Linked DNA regions of Daphnia pulex. The protein of the gene in region 2 interacts with the protein of the main gene of each other region in a biochemical or structural test. Links are inferred from orthologs where the notes say so. Each region holds a gene or a part of one and is shown on either strand. Other genes may lie near its edges. The genes, in order: small ubiquitin-related modifier-like and E3 ubiquitin-protein ligase Arkadia-like.

Region 1 (11,189 bases), on a different chromosome or scaffold from region 2:
CACAAAATATATTGTACGGGCGTACGTTAAGCTTAAAAAAAAATTTTAACGAACCGTTTTTCCTAGAAACCGATGGGCGTGTTTCTGTTTGTCCAGCAGATGGAGTGTATCCAAATTACTACAATTGTTCAACTTTTATTACCTGTTCGAACGGTATTCAATATCTGATGGCTTGCCCGGAAGGACTCATATGGAACGTAGACACGAGCGAGTGTGACTGGCCGAACAATACAGAATGTGTTACCTATCCAGCGATGTCAATTTAGGCAAGTTGCAAGTAACAAAAATAAAAATAGACGCAGTAAAGTAACCATTGATTTCTTTTTCATTATGTGTAGACGAATTGACTACTCGTCGAGCGCTTATTTCGGGAAATCTTTTGTTTCCGGGGGCTAAATACATTTTCTAGTTAAGGAAAGAAATAAGGGCTCTAAATATTACTCTTGTAGTTCTTTTATTTTTAATTATTGTTGGGATTTAATCTTTACATATTTTAATCGCCGTTTTGCGTTTTAGTGCAATATCACTCAATCTATTACCTTTTATACAGTATTATAATCTTTAATCCAATAAACGGTATTAGATGTGATTGATTGATTTGTCGTTTTTAATTTCCCGCCATGATTCTCTTTTTCAACTGGATATTTTATCCGCCATCTAACGTTGAATTTTGTAGAAAAGATAGCGATGAAATTTGAATGAAAATTTGGACGTTGGCACAGCGAACAGTCAACTATAACGTGAAATAACGCATTACATACTGGTATTGATGATTACGTTTCCGGGTAATCTACGTTACATACTGTACATATTTGCACAAATTTTATTTTTCCCATGTTTTTTGCTCTAAAAATCTATAACTATACCTAGGAGTTCATCGTGGATATGTACGTACTTCAAGCTGCTTTGAAATCACAACTTTAAATTATTCATTTTACAAGATGTAATATAATGTTAAAGTATTCTCCCATCTCCATGAACCAATCATTAAAGTAGCGCTTGATGCGCTACTTACGTATGCGTCACTCTTTTTTAATACGTCATTCTCGTTTTAATTATTTGGCCAGACAGCAGGTGCAGGTCTTATCATCAATGATCAATCGAATATCTCCCGTTCAGAGATTCAGAGGCGTACGGCACTTCCTGTTTTTTCGTATTGCGTTCAATGACAGACGGAAAAATTTATTTTTAAATAAAATAATCTAATAGCTACCAACATAAATATTTTTTCTTTTGAATAGCATGAACTGCAAAAATTCACACAATAGAAAGTTAAGAATGTGTGAATTTATTTGATCCAATTAAGGTCAGTCAGCTAAAATTCGTTACTTCTTGTTTAGAATAAACATTTTTTTCAGGTTCGGTTAAAGGAGATACTGAGACATTTTCCCCAGACATCTGCTTTCGCTGTACGCTTACGCTTGCGAATGCTGTACCGATTTGCAGCAGTTTGTCTTTAACTATAGCAATAGGGTGTTCCTAAAAAATTTTTCAAATTCGAACACGTCGGAGAAGCGTTTCGTCAATGTACGTAATTAACGTGAAATGTCAGTAACATTCATATTACGATGTATTACGAATGCTTACGGTACGGTCTATTTAGACATGGCATCAGACCACTTAGGTCCACCATGACTGCTTAGGTGTCACTGTTTCAAATATTTTTTTTATGAACGACATACAGAGGGTATTTATTAATTTTATCTGATAACTCTCTCACGACAATATATACAGTATTACATATAATAACTACTCGCAGCACTGATCACAATAAGCAAAATCAGTGATTATACGGAATGAAAATGGCTTATTTTTTAAAAGTTAACTGCTTTTGTCAGTTTGTGTTGATAATTCGATAACAGCTGATAAATGTCATGCTGCGGCAAGCCCACATAAAAGTGACTCGAAATTGCTCACTTTTAGCTTTGGCTTGACGCAGAGACAGTTCTCTCTCATTCTTGGAACCCACAGTTTGTTTCCGAGATCGTCCCATCTTCTTCAGAAGCTTTACGTCCGCCTCCTCAGTCGGACCATCTGAAGAAAGAATGAGAACGTTCTGGTATTTGATTTCGGCGACGGCCGTCATTTTGCTTCATCCGGTAGCCACCCAGACGCCTCAACAGCCAGGAGCGACCGCAGCATCTCTCATCACGTGAGTAAAAATTTTATCATATTAGTTGGGCATGGCAAGTCTTCCTCATTGTGTACATTTGCAGTTTTCTCCATTATTACAAGATGATGGCTAGCATAAAGGGATATGTGATGTATAGAAAGCTTTAAGATTAAATTTTCCTTCTAACCAGCGGTCGGGGAAGGTTTGGGTGGGGAAAAAATCAGCAAAGTCTCTTTCGAGTACTCCTTTTTGCGCTCAAAGACGTACACACTGCCGTATCCAATTACCTCTATGCTATCCGCCTCATGGGGGTCTATCTAGTTGCTCAAAACAACCTTGCCCTCTTTCTTTTTGCGCTCCCATCGTTGCTCTGGAATTAATAGTTGTTGAAAAGTCTGCTGAACACATGTGCTGCTAACAACAAAAACAAGAATATGCCATTTACTTGTGAAGCGCTTGAACGGAAATTCTAGCTCGCCATGGGCCGTATATGCGGCCGGCGGTAAGGGGGTTGTCTGAGTCTCCAGATTTGACCATAGATAATAAAGATTCATAAATGTTTGATTTCTTTTATTCAAACACGTGGATTGAGTAGCTCAATGAACAAAACCGAAGAAACAACGCCCATTTCCTGTTGTGGGAACTTGCCGGCGATATGACAGAGTGACAGAGGTCGCCGTTTCCCTTTCGATTTGAAATAAGTCGATGATGTCGCTCGTGTCATCCTTGTTTCCAAGTGAATTGAAGTCTTCCCGCTTCCTCGAATTCCTCAATGCCTTGACCTCAATCGACAACATTTTAAAAGATTCTAATCGTAGGCATGGTGATGTCATTTGCCATGCGAATTAGGCTATAACTCGTCTCTTTTCCCAATCTGCGGTAAATAACACATCTAATCGAGTTTCGAAATGGTAGGCATTCGGACATCAGGGACGCTATTTTGACGCTGGTCGGAGCAGTTAGAGAGCAGACGGGCAAGCTCGAACGCCACGAACTTCGTGAGAGGCAGCTGGGAGATGCCCTGACGCGTTCCCTTAGAGATCTTGATTCACGAACACGTGGTCAAGATAAGAATCTGGAGAACCTGGCTATCCTCATGGCCCGAACCGATGAGCGGCTCCGTAAGATGGAAGAAATGGTCATACAGGTAACTTCAAGTCGATCTATAATTAAAGGTCAAATATCAACCACAATATTTTATATCAGAGGGACGAGAGAGAGAGAATTCAACTCCAGAAAATCACTGACAATACAGTGGCTATCCGCAATGGAATTGAATCCGGAAGAAGTGCCGGTGCTCCTAGTGGTCCTGCTCCGGCAGCCGCTTCAACTGGAGATCTCGGCGAAGTACTGAAACAGCTGACTCGCACTCGTAAAAAGGTGGAGAGCGTGGAAGAATCATTGCAAAACCGTCTGTCAGTTGTGGCTAACGAAGTAAGTATTAAGAAAATTAATCCAGTCAAGATCGCGAGTGAGAGCTACATGCTGTTAACTTCCTAGGTGAAAATCGTTGGAGAAAAGTACGAAACGCGCAGTGAGAGACTAGAGAGCTTACAGTTGACTACCATGGAGAACCTGGGCAAAGCTCAAGCTGGCGATGCCGAGAAATTGCGAGCTGCATCTGTCAATCTGGTGGCTACGGAAGGCAAATGGCGACAGTTTTTCAGCGATGCTCAGAATCTGGTCAACCAGTTTGGAGTTGGTGTCAACCGCATTTCTGATCACGTATACGAGTTTCAGAGTTCATTCTTGAGAACAGATGTCAATGAAAATTTCATGATTGCATCCAGGCGAGTCGAATGAAGAATGACACTTCAGCCATCTTAGTCGGTATTGAAAAGCTGGAGACATCTTTGGAGAATTCCGGATCGTCTTCCGGATCGCAGAGCAATCCTGAGGCCCTTGTTTCCGCTATTCAAGTCCATCTGAAACCAACGCTCGATGCTGTTCATTCACTGGTCAACGACTCGTACCAGTCACAGATGAAACTAGACGAAAACTTCAAAGAAGGTTGGCAATCTTTGTCACGCGGAATTGACAAAGGTGTGATGAATGTCACCGATGTGTTTCAAACTCGACTTGGAGCATTTGAACACAAAATGAGTGAGAGTCAGAAGCTTATCCAAGACCAGGTAATGCCAATAATCTCTTTCACAATCAAATAATAATTGAATATCATTACCACATGATAATTTTTCATGAATTAGGTGGAGGAATCTGGAAATATGGCCGAGACATTGGCCGACAGGGTGGACAAAAGCTATGCAAGTCTTGCCAAAGAAATTCACGGGTTGCAAAAAGTAGAACAAGTACTTCTCGACACGGCTGATGGAGTTCTTGATACGAAACGACGTCTCGAATTTGCCGTCCAGCAAATTTTGCTTGAATTGGGCGACTCAATCCGCAGACAAACGGGCGATCTGAACTCGACATTAGCCCGCAAGGTCGACGACGTCACCTTCTCGGTCATCAAAGATCAAAGTACCGCACTTACTAACATGACAAGTAAACTAGAAAATGAACTCGGACAGGTACACGGACTATAAAAATGATTTTACTTTTATTATTAGTTTTTTTTTTCCCTATTTACTAATTTATAGAATTCATTTCTAAAATCATCTAGGTCTGGCGTCAGATTGGCGTGCTATACCAGAGCGCCAGTCAATCACAAGAATTGTTGCAACGAGTGGAACAGCAGACAGCCCAACACGTCGGCGGTAGTCTTCAAGCTCTCAGCAGCATGGACAAAAGAGTTGGCCAGGTACGAATATCTTCGAACGACATTATTATGAAATTGATTAATGAACTTTGTTATAGGTAACGGAACGGGTCAACGAAGTTGACGACCATTTGAACTTTTTGCTGGGCCGCTTGTCGTTAGTAGTGCAGGAATTCAATCAAGTGAGGGGTGGATTGGGTGAGGCTCTCGAATCACTTCGTTCAGGACTTGCAGTCACAGGCCAACAGCCAAGTACGACGGCCGGTAAATCCTCTTCACCTCCTTATGACGTTTCCAGTGGTCCAGTACCCAATCAAGAGGACGTCACCGTTATCACGCGGAAAGAGAATATTAATAACGACAGCGACGAGAATTGAAATTGAATTGCTCATTCGTGACTGAGCTGTAGACAATAGCATTGAGCTTCTTTGCAAAATTGAGAACAGTAGACATTCGTAGACTTAACTCTAGTTTAATTTTTATGTAGTCACAACTTTCATTTCGGACGAAACACATAAAATATAAGTACAGTGCTCATTGAGTAGAATCAACCCCACTCTATTAGCCAAAGTAGATTCTCATCGTACGCAACCAAATAAATTACCGCCAAGTTTTTAAAATCCTATCAATCAAACAATACAAAAAATACGGTCTGTATTCGTTCCTGCGGCGAACGAAGATTAATTGAATTCCACGCCACATGTCTCACATAATAAGTTGCTCCTGCTGCGTGTGTCAACTGGATAATGCACCTTCTGCCTCCGTTCTATTTTTTTCTCATTCAAATGTGAATTGTACACTCGTTGCCAAAACAAATAATACATTAGATACACATTTGTATATGAATCACACGGCTAATACTTGAATCAATATGACACATGTTTCGTATCTTTTTTGACAATTTGACAATCGTGTGGCTTAGTGAGTTGTACTTTTTTCCTCTCTAGTTCTATATTGCATTATAGCATGGATGAAGTCAATACAGGAAACGAACAAGTTTTGACAAAGATTGATTGGCTTCCTCGTCTGACTGTTGTTCAACTACCGAAGGATCAGTGCAATGCTTAAAAAATATTTCTGTAAAGAAGAGGCATCATCTTGTATAATAAAATTTATCTTGTTGTAATAAAACCCCCAAACCGTCTCAAAGGTAAGGTTTTATTTCATACTAAAGCGCAATAATCTAGAACAAAATAATTTGTACAACAACGCATTAATAGCTATATGGAATTAATTAATAAAAATGGCAATAAATTCGACTCCTAAAATGAAAATGACGCTGTTGGAAATTTTTCGTTGGGTTAGCAACAAGTTTGACTACTAAAAAAAATTGCTCGAATTCCAGTGGAAGGTTTACAGAATCAAACCAAAATTTAACATTCATTCAAAAATATCTAATAAAATAGTCTTCTATAATTTCGGTTTGCTGTACTCCATAAGACACAACTTGTCAGTAAGCAAGAAATTTTCTTAAAATTCCCCTGGAATAGGATGCTATTGGTCGATTAATACTGGTGTGTCGCTCATTCAAAAGAACGAAGTCAGCAAACAGAAAAAAATCCGACGATGCGAAACTGTAACTGTAACAACACAAATTATTTACTACCTACAGATGTCGCAACAATGTTCCTTTTTTTATTACGACAGCATTATCAATTCGTACAGGGAAAACCAGCAGTCGTCCCGCCATTTAATAATTCAAGTCATCAACTCACCAAATTCGATTCTAGTTTGCTAACTGATTATTGGAGTAACTCGTTTCTATGCTGCGGTTGGCATTTACAATCTCAGCAAAAATTTTTATGGAGTGAGTGCTATGGACGTAGTGACGGCTGTAAACCTATTAATTCATGAAACATTAATATGATGTATGATTATCAAATTAAATTAAGGGACATCAACTGCACGCACACGTTGCTAATAATCATCCATAACGATTGCTAACTGTGTAATAATTGCTTAAGCAGCCAAAATGTAGTCGAAGAAGATCTCAATTTATATTTTTATTGAATCAAGCCATTGGATATCATCAGTCTTAATTTTAAATATTATCAATCCCAAATTACATATTGTGCAATTGTTTCAAGCAAAATATTCTTCAAAGCAGCAAAAAATTTAAAAAAAATCCTACAAATTTTATTAATATATTCCAATTTATTTAAAAAAAGTTTTTTAATTTAAAAAAATGTACTCATTTCATACGTGGCCGGCCGTTGTTAAAATAAGTTTTTAGTGCAGTGCCGGCATCCAGACGTATATAGCTGGTGCGGCAACGTTTATTCTCGGCGCTTTTTTGGCCCACGCCATTATTCATTATTCTTCAATAGAGTCGTCTCAAACGTGCTGCTAGTTTTAGAAAAAGAACTTGTTTTAACCATGGCTGATGTAAGCACGTAACTATCTATGTTACTTTTTAAGTATTGCTAAATTTACCCCATTCGTTTCTTTTTCCATAAAATTTGTTTTCACGTGTTGTCTTTGCTGGATAGTCGATTTTTTTTTAGTTCTGATCATGTGTTCGATATTTTAACTGTTTGCCTTTGCATTACCCTATACCAATTTGGCTAACTGTGGTTTCTATTTTTAATATACAGGATCAGAAACCTGATGCCGGTGATGCAGGATCAGAGTACATCAAATTGAAAGTTGTTGGCCAGGATTCAAATGAAATTCACTTTCGAGTAAAGATGACGACACAGATGGGCAAACTCAAGAAGTCTTATAGTGAAAGAGTGGTAAGGGTTTTTCCTGTCATTTTTTTTTTCACTTATTGATAAAGATTTTCTTTGTGTTCAGGGTGTGCCAGTTACTTCGCTGAGGTTTTTGTTTGATGGAAGGCGAATTAATGATGATGAAACCCCTAAACAGGTATGTTGTGTCTAATGCACTTAGCTGATGTGTTAAATGATATGCAAGTAATGAATTTCTGTACTGCTGTTCTAGTTGGAAATGGAGAATGATGATGTCATTGAGGTTTATCAGGAACAAACTGGTGGCAATTAATTTAAGAACCTCGATGCATTCATGGAAAACTTTCCACATTTTCTGGACAAAACTGTCTTTTAATTTCCAATGTTGTCATCAAAATATCGCCCTGCTTTCTGTTCTTCATTTCCAATCGAATAAATAAAACCATTTTCGTAACCGAGAATGATCCTTTCGTTAACTTATGGGCACTCTGCCACTTGTTTCTATCAACTTGTATTGCTATGAATATTGACATCAAAGTTCAAGGATGAAAGGTCTTGACTTCCATTTCTTGCTTTTGATCGCAAAGTGCGTACAAACCTTTTCGAGAGAGGATGCATTGCACAACGCTGTTGCTTGGTAAAAATAAATTGTCAATCAAGAATTTATAATATACTTTATTTTGTGTTGTTCAGTTGTACTAGTAGTAGGTGCAACAAGTTGTAAAATTCCCAAAAGTTATAAACCACTTTGTGGGGTTAACGGGATTTCCTACACGAATCTGAAGGCTTTACAGTGCCATAATAAGGCTAGCCCTGGAAACAGTAGGCTATTTGAAATATTCTTTTTTAGGAAATGGTTCCATCCGTGTTGAATTTGTTTGGTTTTCTCAGTGATTCGAATAGCTTATAAAGGACGCTGTCTTCGACCTGATATTCGTGAATGTAACTATTCTTCAGTCGTGAAAAATGTCTGCGGCAACGACGGGCTTACCTATCTGAATCCCGCAATGGTTGCATGCAAGAACAAATTACAGCCTAAAAAACGTATATTTTTATATCATACATAATTAAACGATGCACAGTTGATATTTTTATGACATTTTAGAGGTGAAGATTATTAGCAAGGGCAAATGTAAAAGTAAAACAAACGCTCGAAGAAGAAAAGTGCCAAATAAAACAGTGAGACCCGGAAACGTCACGGGACCAAAGCAGAAATAGGATTACTCCCCCAAAACCTCACTTCGTTCGTTATAACTTGTATCATGCCAAATTAGACTCTAAACTCTCAAAGTCAATATATGTCAATAAACATGACCAACTTCTGTTTAAAATAAACGGCTGGGTTCTGACAAGAGATCCGTGTTACTAATGTGTCAACTATGCCACAATGCCGGCTCGTCATTCAATTTTCTCGTGCCATGTACTATATTTTTTAAAAAATTCGCCGGGTTTCATTTCTCAAAATAGTTCAGATTAATGCAAGCATTCTTAACAGTCGGCGGCCGTTTTTCAAGGAAGACGGATCTACTAAGATGACGTGTTAAGTTCGTGCACAATACGAAAAGTGCCTTTAATCCTTTTTTTAAAAGACAAAACATATGGTTAATAAGCGCATCGGCTTCCAACATACTCGATAGAGTGGGAATCAAACAAGTCACGTGACTTGGACTGTGCTATAAAATTCGATCCAAGCATTATTTTAAAAAAATGTCTCCCTTACTCACGCCTCTAGTGTATACAACTTCCAACTATTAATAATAGTACTAGATGTCTTGATTTTGTATAAAAAAGGTAAATCCTATTATGAGCTATCCAATCCTCTTGATTGAAAATAAATTTTACAAATAATTGTAATGACAAATATGAACATGCAGTTAACAATTAACGTTCTAATTCTTTGATAGTGTTTTTGTTTTTAGTCACTAGGAGCGCATGAGACAAGCTTAAAGGTGAGTGGGCGAGTCTCTACGATTTCCAGAAGAGGGTCGGGCACAGCTTTTTCTACTTCATACTTTTTGACGTGGCAACGTAACGTTGAATAGCTAGTTGAAAGAGGTCTTCGTCCGCCATTATTAACCCTCTGCTCGTAGTCTAATTCGGGCTCGTTCATTCTTTGGAATCCGTTGCGTTCGATTCAGAGTCCGTAAGTTACCTTCACCACATTTACTAAAGAGTCGAATATGTCAACTTCTAAGTGTATTAATAATTAGTTCATTTTGCGAAGCACTTGTAATTGTATGTCGTGTCGAGTCGGTTCTGCCACTCCACAAACTTCACCGAGTCGGCGTTGAGCAAGGGTTTGACAGTTGCTCAATGTCTAGCTTCAGTTTAGTCATTAGTTAGCAAAGATATATCTTTGTAACATTTTCCAGTGATTCTAATTGCCATTCTTCCTTTTTTAGGTTATATTCTTAAGTTATTCCATCCAACTTTGCAATGGGAAACGTTTTCGCCACCCTGTTCAAAGGCCTATTTGGCAAAAAGGAAATGAGAATATTGATGGTTGGACTTGACGCAGCTGGTAAAACTACAATTCTCTACAAACTCAAGTTAGGTGAAATCGTCACAACAATTCCCACAATTGGTAATTTATTCAATTTTCAGCAAATTTGACTTGCAGTTTTTATCATGTAATTTGTTTTTATTCCCAAGGTTTCAATGTAGAAACAGTTGAATATAAAAACATATCTTTCACTGTTTGGGATGTTGGTGGCCAGGACAAAATTCGACCATTGTGGAGACATTACTTCCAAAACACACAAGTATGTTTATTAAGCTAAAAATTTGAGTGACTTTTCTAATTGTCCATTACAATCTAGGGTCTCATCTTTGTAGTTGATTCTAACGATCGTGAGCGTATTGGTGAAGCCCGAGAAGAGTTGATGAGGATGCTGGCCGAAGATGAACTCCGTGAAGCCGTGTTGCTTATTTTTGCAAACAAACAAGTATACTTGTCTTTCATTTTCAAAAATGTTTTGACAACAATGACATCATTATTATCCTTGTATTCAGGATTTGCCGAACGCTATGAACGCCGCCGAAATCACAGATAAACTTGGACTTCATTCTCTGCGCAACCGTAACTGGTATATCCAAGCAACCTGTGCCACCAGTGGAGATGGACTTTACGAAGGGCTTGACTGGCTTTCAAACCAATTGAAAAATGCGTCGCGCTAAAGAAAAGAAGATAAAAAGAAACAAGATTTTCAAATTCATATTTTTCAGCTCTAGTAATCCTTGCCTCTCGGCCTCCTTCGCCACCTTTCATCTTTTTTTTTTTGCCCCCCTTCCATCGAGAGTAAGAAAAAGGAAGGCAAACACTTCTGATCCTACTTGAGGGTCCTCTCGCTGCTCTTACAAGGGACATTCCTGGTTTATTCATTTCAGATAAATTCTTTTTTCTCTTCAAAAATGGAAGTAAGCTTTTTTTTTTCTAATGTTCGTAATCGGTTTATTAGCACTTGAGGCAAGGACGTCTGTATATTGAGAACCAAAAAGGCGATTTAAAAAAAGCAGCGGTACTGAACAAGTGTTGCCACCTTTTGTTTCTGTTTTTCCGTGTGCTACAGTTAGGCCCTCATCATCCTCCATCTTTTTCATCCCTTCTATTTTAAATCTAAATTTGTCTTGTGCAAAAAAAGGTAAAATCTTGAGTACGCCAGCAAAC
Region 2 (12,612 bases):
CATCGGTTTTCTCTGAAGTTAGCCTTAGGTCCATGAAAAACAATCCAGAGCTGGCAAGGACCAGTTCCGCTAGCAGTGCAAGTAGCACCAGTATTGACTGTGACAAAAATATCCATGATTATCTTGGTGACATTGATAGTCAAATTAAAGAAGCCAAATCAAAAGCGCAAAAATTACAAAAGACAAGGTATGCAGTTTGTTCACATTTTTATATTTAAAAATTACCTAACAATTACTGTTGCCATTTAAAAGTGATGTAATGAAGGATCATCCAGATGTGAATAAAGGTTCGTGGCCCAGATCCCAAGCCTCAACAAGATTAAGACTGAGTTTGGCAGAACTAGGAGGAGAATTCAATGCTGCAACATCTTCAGACCATGTGCCTGTTACAGAAGTTGTTGGTGGAGCCAGAGGCAGGAAAACAAAGTCAATGTTCAATCACAGAGATAGATCTCAAGATGAGATTTTCGAACTCTAATCAACTCGACATCATTGTTGGTCAGCTGCTTGATGTAGGGCGAACGCAAACCGTTGTACATTCTATTTATCATGATTGTGATATCTCACTTGAGTTTAATCATGCTCTTTAAAACAAATAAGATGTCTTGTTTAAACTTTCACCAAGTAATTTTTGTCGAACGATTCGGGCGCCGTTTTTTCGTGATTCGTCTTCTGCTTAAAATCACACGTGCAACTACAGGAAAACTACACACTTCAAATCATTTTTCTCTAATTAATCCTAACATCCTGCTTAGTAGGTGTTGTAAACCATTGTTGTTTTACGTTTTTTTCCAATTATTATATGCTAGTCAAGGAATTGGTTAATACAAACTCAGATCCACGATTGAATTTCTTTTTAGCACCGCATGACAATTTTGCTTTCCATCGTGCTTACTCAATGAAACTGCAAGTAAATTTCATCCCCCTCATCCGATTCTATTTTTTAAAATTGGCGCTACTGTTTTTTTTTAAATTTATATTATGATGAAAAAAAATCTTCTGTTATGTCAATTAGGTGGGGTAGTTGACTAGCGTTTAAATGTGGCAGAAACAAATTGCAATTAATTTTTTAAAAATTTAATCAAATGATTTGTTCCTATTTGTTCAAGTTATTAACAAGGCAACAACGCATTCTTCTGCTTTACAATATGGCGGCACAACACAAAATCAAACATACAACATGAGCTCCGCTGTCCTTAGATCCTTAATAGGAAAAACGGTATTGTTTGTTGTGATACTAGTTTCATTTTCTAACCATGTGTTTTGTGCCATTCGAGGTATGTTGAATATATAAAATTTCATTGTTAAATTCTAAAATCGTGTTCTTGTTGAATGATGTAGCTGTTAAAGCCGGCAATGCACCGAATCAGTATAACATCAAGCCGGCGAATATTTACAATGTGTCGAATGATCATTCAGAGGAGTTGTTGACTATATTTTGCTGGCCTGGTGATTCAAAAACTGTGTTTGGGCTCTGGAAAACTGCAACAGTAAGTCTAATCAAGTATTAATTAATCATCCTTATCTTTACGAGACATGTTCTGTTTCCAGGTGTATTTAACCATAAAAGATGACAACTTTAACATCTACAAGGGGGAAAATGCAAGCCATGTTGTTCATCTTCACGAATTACTTCAGCAGTCTTGGTTTTCATTTCTTCCTTGGAAAGAGAAATCAATCTCGGTATCACCATTCAATATGTCATGCACAGGAGTTTTTTCAAAATCTGAATTTCTCTTGAGATTAGATGTCAGACGTAAGCAAACATATTTTGAGGTGTTAACATTTTTAAATCCATGATTAAACATATCATTCTGTTTCAGAAATCAACTTTAATCGTTTGTTAATGTTCATTGCTGGAATACTCCTTTTTTCGGTTGCACCAACACTGTGTAAGAAAGTTATATTTCACTACACTACTGGAACGCTTGTTGGAGTATTGGGTTCAATTCTCATTATTGTCTATCTTACTAGCAGGATTATTCCCAAAGTAAGTCTTTGAAATTAGAAAAAAAAACTTCTTAAAAACTAACTACTTTATAATTTGTTAGAAATCTGGTGCTTATGCTGTCTTGATTGGTGGGAGCTCTATAGTCTTTTACCTGATCAGAAGTCTCTGGGAGAACATGTACTCTGTGCTTCGAGAATATCATTACTATGTGATTGCTTACCTAGCCGCCAGTTCAGTGATTAGTTTCGCATTTTGCTACCGATTTGGTCCAGTCACAAATACTAGAACCATTAATCTCCTTCAGTGGTCTCTTCAGTTGTGTGGCTTGTACCTAGTGTTTGAAAGCAGTGAACATAAAGAAGGAGCAATGGCCATAATCTTAGTCACGGTTGTCTCGCATAACTTTCCGGGAGCGTGGTGGGCTCGATGCCAGACACTGTGGTAATAGCACATTTTATCATAAATGAGATAGTTCATGATTATTATCATTTGCGTTTGATGTGGTAGGTTCAAAAGATTTCCCCCTACCGTGCGCTTATTAACCGAAGATGAATACGTCGATCAAACTCGAATTGAAACTGAACGAGGACTAAAGGAATTACGAGAATTCAGCAGAAGTCCCCAATGCAACGCCTGGAAAACGATGAATCGACTTAAGGATCCCCTCAGGTGATTTTTAATTTATTATTCTTTCATTTCTATCGAATGGTGGCAGATTGGGTGGTCTTGTCAAGGAATTTTTATTCGGTCGTAAGATTCCCTAATCCCTACCCTTTGTTCGCTTTGTCTCCGGCCTGATTTTTTGCATGGGTTTTGTTGATAGGATGCGAACTAAACCTAGTCCTCGTTGTATTGAATTCGTCTCGACTCCACCTAAAAATAATCGAAATAGAAGGTCTTCTCGGTACGCAGCTTGTGGATTTTAACCGAATGGATTGGTTAATACCGTTTCGTTTTGTTTTTCTCTTCTTTTTAATAGATTTGCTGAATTTGTGGAGGGCAAGTCACATCTCTCAGATCGTGAAGTGCTCGACTACGAGACGACAGCGTATAGAGAGAGCGAGACATGGACGGACGACGAATCAGATGAAGAATGAAACAGTGAAAATGATCAATTAAATGCAAGAAACAAACTTTTTATTTCCCCCTTTTTTTTCTGGAGGGTGAGGAGGAGGTCGGAGAGTGAGAGTTGAAATTTGAAAGCAAAGTCGATTTCAAAGCAATTAATTTCAATACATGAAAATCATAAAAGAAAGCTTTTAACCTTATTTCAGTTAAACTGTGGGGTTAACATAGGTTGAAGAAAGGCGCCGGTACTGATTGTTAATAAAACTCGCGACTCATTCCTTGATTCCTCTACTACGGTAAAGTTGAGGTAGAGCAGAACGTTTCACTGGTCAGGGAAACCCCCGAGTCAGCCAACACTAGTTTGTAAACTAATCATAAACAACTCTTCTTTCTGACTCATTTCATCATCATAGATCACGCTAATTTTACGCAAACACAAATATTAATATAAACACCACTACAAAACTTCGAATTAAAGAGTAGGAAAGAGAACTGGGATAATCATATACTGAAGGAAACTAGCGTTATTTAAACTTTAAAAAAAATAGGAATAACCTATGTGCAAAAGTTAAGTTCAGCTTGCTGGAGCTCCGGCCTCCATTTCGGTTGCGTCTGGAGGTATACGGAGAGTAGCTCCTTCAGGAGTAGTTGAAGACGAGCTCCAGCTACGAGAATCCCCTTGTCCTTGCTCTTTCGATTCCACTTGGGCTTCAATATCAACACGACAAAGTGGACAGAATTTAACAGTGGTAAGCCATTGGTCAACGCAAGAGACATGAAACAAATGCATGCAAGGTAGACGACGGACATCTTCACCTTCCTCAAATTCACACAGGCAAATGGTACACTTTTCGGTGTTGTCTTCATTACTGTCGCCATCAACGCTGCTGTTGCTACGCAAGAGACGCTTGTACGAATGCGACAGAGTATTGCGTTCGATGCACGTCTGGGAGGCACCACGCGAGAGCTGGGCCATTCGACGCTGTTCCACCAAGCGCATGTACTCTTCCAAACGCGTTGAAGGACGTAAAAATGGGTAGTGATGTGGTGATCCGCTCAAGAATGGACTGTTGCCCAGTGGGATCAATGGTGGTGGAGGATGGTGGTGGTGACCGTGCTGCTGGTGGTGAATGTACAACGGGTAGCCACGGTGGTAAGGTTGCTCCTGCTGATGGGCTGGTTGGATTTCGACTGCTGCGGCACCTTGAACACCGGGCATGGCAGGTGGTGGAACGCGTTCCATTGGTACGGTTCGAGGTGGTGGTGGTGGTACTGCGGGCGGGATGGCTGGTCCTGGACCTATACTGATATGCAAATTGCCAGGCAGACTGAAATGGGCAATGTGGTGGTGGTAAGACGGAGCAAAAGCATAGGCAGGAGGAGGAGGCAAATGGTGATGGCGAGGATCTAAATTGACAGGAGAACTTTCAACGACAATTTCAGCTTGAACGGCCGGCATCATGTGGCTACTCAAATCGGGAGCGTGAACAGTTCTGAATTGTGGCGAAGGACTGCTGTTGCGCTCCAGTGCAACTGGATGATATGGAGGAGGCGGACCAGAGAAACCAGTGGGTTGTTGTTGATTTTGAATGCCTTGACTCATCATCGGAGAATCCGGAATCGATGACGGACCGCTAACTTCGACGGTTTCTCCAGCTGCGACACGTTGTGCCATGTCCATATGACGTCGAAGAGCTTCTTGCGAGCGGTGCTGTGAATGCCAAATCCTCTGGTGAATGGGATGGATACGCATGAAGCTTCGAGCAATGGCAGGCGGCATCGTACAACGTCCGTCCACGGGTCGTGAAGTGGGGGCCGCATGGTAAATACCAGTTGTTTGAGGAACGAAAACGGGTGCAGGTTGAGCGACAGAAGTGGCTTCAACCAGCTGACTGGGTTGCAGTGGAATGGCCGCAGCCTGATTAGAAGATCCATCTCCTGCTACGTGTTGAGGTGACGGAGTGGCTACTGTTTCAACGGCCATACTTGGATAACTCCACCAGACGGGCGAACGAGCTCCACCGTGGGTTTGAACGGTTGACGGCAAACGTAGAGTCAGAACTGGCGGTGGTGGAGGATGGTGATAAGCTGGCGGTGGTGGTGTATACGAAAAGGCAGTGGCATGATGAGCTAGCGGAGATGGTCGAAGAGACTGATTAGGAATGTAATGTGCTCGTATTGGATTACCATTGTTTGGCCAAGCTACACCCATGGGCGTGGGCCGTCCTCCGTCCACGTAAAACTGCCCTGGACATCCGCACCAAGCACCTGGGCGGTTTCCTGCAGAGGACGATGGAGTAACGGACACAAAGGCCGGCGATGCTCGTCTTACTTCAGCGTCTGGCTGATTGTTCTCTTCAATCACAACCGGTATTGGTGCCATTGGAGGCTCTGCTTTAGGTATAGCTCTTGACTTTACAGACGACGATGGTTTGGGCTGTCTCCCAGTAGAACGAGAATAGCCCGACGATGTAGAAGGATTGGGAGTCGACGTTTCGTCTTCTGAAATGGTAAGATCTACGACTTCGGGTTGATGCTGAGAACGCAATAGACCAGGTCGGACGCTTACTACTTCGATGCAACTATCGTCATCGTCAATGTCTGATTCGGTAGCAGAGGAGGAACCGTCAGTCAGACATTCTAATTGTAGATCATCAGCAACTGGGCCATCATCGCCAGTTACCGTTCTTGCAACTCCGATACCCGATGGACCGGGTACAGGTTCTCCACCAGAAGTCTCGGCTTGTTTTTTGGACTTCGATGCGTTGCAATTTGAATCCTGTTGAGTTGTATTCGGTCTTTTTCGGCGGACATCAGATGATGAAGATGATGCTGCTACAGCAGAAGCAGCAGCTGGAGGAAAAGATTCTACGCGGTTACTGTTGGCCCAATGGGGAGGTGCTGGTGCCTCCTCCAGTCCAAAGTGAAAGCCATCGACGTGGCTACTGAAGGAGGCAAGAGAAAGAAACTCGTCGACTGGGCCAGGTGAGAGAGAGGGATCGAAATAAGGATTTCGAGTGATAGTGATCTCTCTCTCCCCACTCTCCATACTGTCGTCAAGGAATACAGGATCTGGTGGTCCAGACAGACTGTACACTGAAGGTTGCAAGTTAACACTGACATTAATACTTGTTGGCATTTGAAGAGTCAATGGCAAAGTTTCATCATAGTGGAGTGCAACTGGGGGTGAGAGCAGCTGTGACGGCATCAAGACAGGGCTGGGAGTTTCTAATTCTGGCATGTCCAAATCCTCTTCATCAAAATGGCCTGATGGACATTCACCATCAATAGAAGGGCAATTCCTACTAGGTGTTCTGGGCGGATTAGTCCTTCCATTTCCAAATGCCAAGTGATTGTTTGTTTCTTCTGCTGAAAGTGATGTTTGTTTCGGAACATTTTCTGTTGCTGACTTGCTACTATTTGTTCCCGAGCTATTGGATCTTTCAGTGTCCATTGTATTTTTTCTAGACGGGCCAGCTTGTTCGTCACCCATTATTGATAACAACTCACTCGATAGAGACGGCTCGAGGCAAGATGCTCCCAAGGGAAGAAAAGACGATGACGTTTTCCTCCCTACACCACCTGATGAAATATGTTTATATAATGAAACCATTTGTCATTAAAATTAAGATTAGTTTGACTTACCATTAAAGACTGAAAAACAAACTTAACAGTAATCCTGTATGAAAACTCGGTAAAGGGCAAAGAGTCACGCCAATCAAGTACAAAACCCTTTCTTTCCAGTTAAGGACAGCTGATGAGACAATTGTCTTTGCTGTAAACAAGTGCCAACGGTGCTGCCAAGTGCCAATATTTCGGTCAACATCGATTTTTTTACTTATTTTTGGTTGTAAGTTTGAATGATGAAATGATTCATTAAATAACTTAAAAATAATTACATTTATGAGTTAAGAATTTCTAAATTAATAAAGTTTACGTAATTTTAGAGTTCATTCAATAATATTTAAAAAAATATGAACAAAACTGTCATCGTCTCTTTTCCTTTTGCCTGACTGGCTGACTGACATTCTGACAGATTAGTTATTCGTTTTTTTGAATAATAAATATCACAATTTCGTAAACAAGTTGAGAATTTTTTGTGGGGAATGTCCATAAGTGAACTGAAATACTAGTATTGCTGTCGTTCGAAATGAGTGTGACACATAAAGAATCGGGAAGTAAAATCGTTTTTGTTACTGTAGGGACTACCCAGTTTGACGAATTAATAACTCAAGTTTTGCATCCAAACACGTTAGAGGTATGTTCGATATTTACGTTGCATTACACATTTTTCCTAGTAAATAATAATGTATAAAATTTGAGCATCAGATTTTGGAAGATGATGGGTACACACATCTTGTTCTGCAAATTGGACTTGGTGTTGAACCTCCAATTCCTATTTCACGAAGAATACAAATATCTTGTTATCATTTTAAAGAAAACATTTCTTCTGATATGGAAAAAGCCTCCCTAATCATTTCACATGCTGGTGCTGGCAGTTGTCTTGAGGCCCTCAGTGTAGCAAAGCCATTAATTGTTGTGGTTAACCAGAAGCTGATGGGCAATCACCAGCTAGAACTTGCTGAGAAGTTACATTCTGAAGGACATGTTTATATGTGCTATCCAGAAACCTTAAAAACTACCATTGTTGATTTTAGAACTACTAAACTCCAGAAATTTCCTAGAAATAATCCAGTTGCATTCTCAGCCTACCTTGAAAAATTGATGGGATTTCAAAAATAAAGTTCAATTTGTGTATTGATTTCATACATTGTAAACGTCTAAGTTGAAAAAAAAAAACGGTTGGATATGATGCGATAAAGTTAGTGTCGCGAATAACGATCTGCCGAATAGCCAACGGATCCAGACTGCCCGATAACAGGGTTGTTAAGACTCCCTATGTTTCCTGTCGCTGGATTATATTGCGCGGATCCACTAAGAGGGGGAGCTGATCCAGTCCAGTTGTTATTAAATGATCCAGACGACGCCATTGACCTTCCGACAGGCATTAACGAGGATGACGATGCGCTCCAGCGATCTTGTTGCGTACTTCCGTTGCCAGACCAGCTGGTGTTAGAAGACAATCCAACTCCATTGCCCAGCATGGTATTACCGCTTCCATTGGAACCGTAATTAGTTTTTGAACTTCCAACTCCTCCGCTTGATACGGGGGCATTCGCACTGGAAGGGCCTCGCTGCCAGGGCTCAGACACTCTCTCATTGTAACGGTGATCTATTCGAACAAAAGAGAAAACCACAAAATAGTAATTAATATATGATCGCAACCGCACTTTCCATCCGGCTTTTACCTTTCCCACGTGAGTCGTTGGCATATCGATCACGATGATCTCTCTCCGGCATGCGGTTGTTCCGTATCGGTTCAGTTGCACTTCCCCTGCCTACTCCTCGATCACGCGGACGCTCTCTTTCCCGCTCCCTGTCACGATCTGAAAAACCTTCTCGGCTTCGGCTCCCGCGATCGTATCTATAATTTTAAAAAGTAATTAGGTTAAGTACATTAATCCAGAAAGAAAAATTTTGGATAATGATTAACAAGGATTGTCACGATTTGAATGACTTTCCTGTTAAAATTTGTTACAGGCTAGGAATAAAATCGTTTTCAATTTAGCGAGCTGATAAATGGCACTGCCTCCACATAAGTAAAGCAGCACTGAGTGCAGCTGCATTTTTAAATTAAATATAAGAAGATTCACACATTTAGTAGTTACATACCTCTCATCACGTCCCCTGTCAACGACCCGTCTGTCATCCAAGCGATCACGAGGAAGGGGAGGTGGTGACGGCGGTGGGAGTCGAGTGTCTCTGCGAACACTTGATATTTCTTGGACTACGCGTCGTGTAATGACAGCCGCTCCGGCAGTTGCAGAAACAGATGACGGGGGTGGACGTTCGAAGCGGCGGGCGTGGTTGTCGTAACCGCCGCGAACCGGTTCAGATACCTTTGAACCGCGATAATCAGCATTCAGGGAGGCAGAACCCGATCCAAAATGTCCGCCACTTCCAGCGTTGCTACCCTTGGGATCAACAAAGCGTGATGATGGATCGAATCGCATCGACCCTTCCATCGATAGGCGTTTACGATCGACAAAATACCCATCACGATCATTGGGTGCTGTCCTTTTAGTAGCGCGCCTTACTTCTTCTATCTTGGCAAGAGACCTGAAAAAACAAAAATGTTAACAATCGAGACGGAATAGACTCAACTGTAAGAACTTCTACTAAAATATGTTCATCTCCTATCCTAAGGTAAGCAAGTCTAGTTATCAAACTTCATCCTTTGGCAAGGGAGACAATCTCTTTTAATATTGCACTGTGAATGGTTGAATTCGACCATGAGACATCGAAACAATCGTTAAATTCACGATGCTGAACGGAATGGTTCATTATCCTTTTTAAAGTTCGACGAACGAACGTGGGAAGCGGCTTCCGTAAGGCGTGGCGCATTAAAGGTTTCCTCCCGCGGATAAGCCTATCTATTTTGTGTGATGAAGGGCAAGTAGAATTATACCTGGCTTGTCGACGCTTCAGCTCTTCTCGTTCAGCTTCTATTTTCTCCCTTTCGAGGCGCTGCTGTTCCCGTTCAAGGCGTAATATTTCGGCTTTCTCGCGCTCCAACCTCTCCCTTTCGATACGAAGCCGCTCTCGCTCTTTTTCCAGTCGGATCGCCTCCTCGCGCTGCTTTCGCTCGAACTCACGCATTCGCGCAATCTCTTCTCGACGACGGCGTTCAGACTCGCGTTCCAACCGCTCACGTTCTCGAATCCGCTGCTTCTCACGTTCCTCCTTTTTTTCATAATATGGATGGATGTCATTGCTTTTCTTATTCCACCATCGACCGTTTCTTTAAAACTGCAAATACCCGAATATGCTGGAAGGTCAAGACTTGTTGACGTGGCCGATGAGGAGATGGGGGTCGGCGAGGTCGATCTTTCCTCTCACGTTCCATCCGTTCACGGTTGACTCGTTCCCTATTTTCCCGCTGCTGCTGAGCCGACGAGACGACCACCATTTTGCCATCTTTGTCTCCTCCTTGAGTTGTCGATTTCTCTTCCTCCTTTTCTTTTGTATTTCCTGCGACGGACGTGTCCCCGGTCGTGGCGGATGTAGCAACTTCCGGTGTCGTTACTTCGCCTTTCTTAGCGAGGGGCGACGAATCAGCTACCGTTTCATCAGTTTTGTCGGCACTCTTTTTTTCAGGGACTTCATCTTCGGTTCCAGCAGAGGCCAAATTTTTTGAATCAGAAGATTTGATGACATCAGCCTTACGCGGTCCATTTTCTCCTGTGGTCTGATGATTCAGAGTTCAGCACGAAAGTTGGAGGTTAGAAGGTGTGATGAATCACAACGTGAGACAGAAATAAACTAAAATAATTAAAGCTAAAGAGAAATGTGCTTCTCCTATCCTAAGGTAAGCAAGTTTAGTTATCTAACTTCATCCTTTGGCAAGGGAGAAATGATTATGTTGCATGTCATGTCGTCAACGAACCGACCACAATTCCATCGATCGTTTACTTTAAGACATCATGCGGTTTCCTCTGTCTAGTTTAAGGGTCCCACGAGTAAACAATCCATAAAATTTACGAACGCTTCTTACCCGCTCTACGGAAATCATCCGACCGTGGATCTCTGTGCGATGGAGGTACTGAATGCACTTGGATGCATCTTCACTAGTAGCCATGGTTATGTATCCGAAGCACCGTACACCTGGAGTTCGAGCGTAAGTGACTATTTTGGCTCCCATGACCTGAAGAGAAAAAAAAAAGGGCATATTAATATTACACAATTCACCCACATCACACGTCATGAAGTGGTACGTACTTTTCCAAATTTAGAGAAATGATGTTTTAGATCCGTGGCGCGGGTCGATGTCGACAACCCACTCACCCACAAGTTACGACTACCGCCATTACTGCTAGAACCTCCTACGGTTTTCTTCTTATCTGTTTTGAAAATAGAGAGAATTTTTTCTTCATTCATCCATTTCAAAGGATCAAGCTAACATAATTGAGCGTTCGGTGAAATACTACTAGTGAGACAGCATATTTAGATTTTATCATACAGTCATGTGATAAAGCACTCACATACAACACAGTGACGCTTTGAGTGATTTTGAGAAAAAAAATAATAAACTTATTCCCATTGCCCTTCAGCATTAAGTGCGCTTCTCAGGATACGCAGCAACAAGTGGGACATGACGTTGGGTTAGACACACACAACCCACTCACTTGTCTGCTCAGAGACACGGTTCACACCAAAAAAAAACTCCGGTGATAAATAAACAAATATGGCACAGTCGAAGAAAAACCCCCGGGGCTAAAGAGAGAAGAGCCAACTAGCTAGCGTTACCACCACACGGCTAAGTTACGAACTTGGTTAGTATCTCCGAAAAATTTCACCACGGGGAATGCGAGATGGCACGACGGATACCCTACTCCCACCGTGAGTTATTTTCGCCATGTGATGCGGCTAAAGGGTCAAGAGAAAACCCTAAAAGGGAAAGGTAAGACAACTTGTGCCATCAAAACTTCCTAAAAAGAATGAAAAGAATGGAGAGAAGGAAAAAAAAAACTTTCTATCCCTCTGCCGATTCATCCTCGCACGGTGGAAGAATTTCTTGGCCATACACAACAGTAGAACAAAAGGCACGTCCCACTTTGGCACAAAAACACAAAAAAACTCAGCCCTCATGCACTGAATTGTATGGCGACATTTTCTAATTAAAGCCTACCAGGAAACCAAAATTTGCTTTTGTGCTGCGGACAATGTAACAGCGATGAAGGCACCCGCAAGTTTGCGTGAGTAGTGGAAACAAGTAATTCAGATCTCAGAACGCATTAGAGCAAATCGAGGTAGGCGGGTATTTCTACTAGAGAAAATTACTAACGCTCAAGTCGTGATACAATGACAAGTCGTTGTCATGAACAAAACGCCACCACGAAGACATTTCACTCCACAGGCGCTTTCGTGAAATCTTCTTATCTTCGACGAGTCGAGAAACACAGATTAAACCTAACAATAAATAAAAAGCTTGGCGCAAACACATTTAACCGTGTTCTAGCCCGACGCAGCATTCCTTTTGTCAACAAATATTCTTTTACATCCCGAGACAAAAAGAAGTGAAAATCCCCGAGTCAACATCAAGAAATTGTTAAAGGAGCGCCGAGTGGAATGACCCATAACTGTTCTTTTCTTTTCCCCCTTCCCAATATTTAAATTATTCTTTGTCAGCAACAGGAGTAGATAGTACAGGTACACCTACTATCAACTAGGTATATAAATTATTCACAAGGAAAACCAAAAACAAGTTTCTACCTCCCCCCTACCTTCCAGTAAACAACTTCCTCTGTCATCTGAAGGAAGTTATTACAGTCGACAGTCCTCTCAACTCAACAAAAAATCAAGTCACGCACCAATCAAGAACACAACCTCATAAAAAGAAACGGAGCTTTTTTAACGTGAAATAAATTACATCCTAACAATAGAGCTGCAGAAGCTATCTATCCCATAACGCATTGTTTGAATTTGAGCATCTGATAAGAAAATGGAAAGAACGCATCGTGAGCGGCAACCAT

Evidence for each region.
Region 1: the proteins of E3 ubiquitin-protein ligase Arkadia-like (region 2) and small ubiquitin-related modifier-like form a complex in vitro, tested with the Homo sapiens proteins (3 studies listed by BioGRID). The link is inferred for Daphnia pulex from reciprocal best matches to the Homo sapiens genes RNF111 and SUMO1.

What each region holds. Positions count from the first base shown.
Region 1 is NC_060017.1:274,242-285,430, reverse strand, and holds small ubiquitin-related modifier-like, read left to right. Parts: upstream 1-7,055; 5' UTR 7,056-7,208; coding exon 7,209-7,217; intron 7,218-7,426; coding exon 7,427-7,567; intron 7,568-7,628; coding exon 7,629-7,700; intron 7,701-7,775; coding exon 7,776-7,835; 3' UTR 7,836-7,983; downstream 7,984-11,189. Other genes in the region: putative leucine-rich repeat-containing protein DDB_G0290503, read left to right, coding at 2,046-2,152, 3,029-3,260, 3,320-3,547, 3,614-3,838, 3,904-4,245, 4,321-4,644, 4,737-4,874, 4,931-5,209; serine protease inhibitor dipetalogastin-like, read left to right, coding at 8,135-8,159, 8,216-8,344, 8,414-8,566, 8,628-8,740; ADP-ribosylation factor 1, read left to right, coding at 9,959-10,106, 10,175-10,284, 10,342-10,467, 10,535-10,699. UniProt on the Homo sapiens protein: Ubiquitin-like protein that can be covalently attached to proteins as a monomer or a lysine-linked polymer.
Region 2 is NC_060024.1:8,990,909-9,003,520, forward strand, and holds E3 ubiquitin-protein ligase Arkadia-like, read right to left. Parts: upstream 6,826-12,612; 5' UTR 6,665-6,825; intron 6,602-6,664; 5' UTR 6,513-6,601; coding exon 3,594-6,512; 3' UTR 3,067-3,593; downstream 1-3,066. Other genes in the region: nuclear envelope integral membrane protein 1-like, read left to right, coding at 1-187, 1,743-1,756, 1,824-1,990, 2,052-2,392, 2,459-2,620, 2,775-2,855, 2,931-3,048; UDP-N-acetylglucosamine transferase subunit ALG13 homolog, read left to right, coding at 7,170-7,277, 7,343-7,762; SAFB-like transcription modulator, read right to left, coding at 7,843-8,252, 8,329-8,504, 8,753-9,199, 9,549-9,823, 9,900-10,328, 10,635-10,784, 10,859-10,980. UniProt on the Homo sapiens protein: E3 ubiquitin-protein ligase. Required for mesoderm patterning during embryonic development. Acts as an enhancer of the transcriptional responses of the SMAD2/SMAD3 effectors, which are activated downstream of BMP.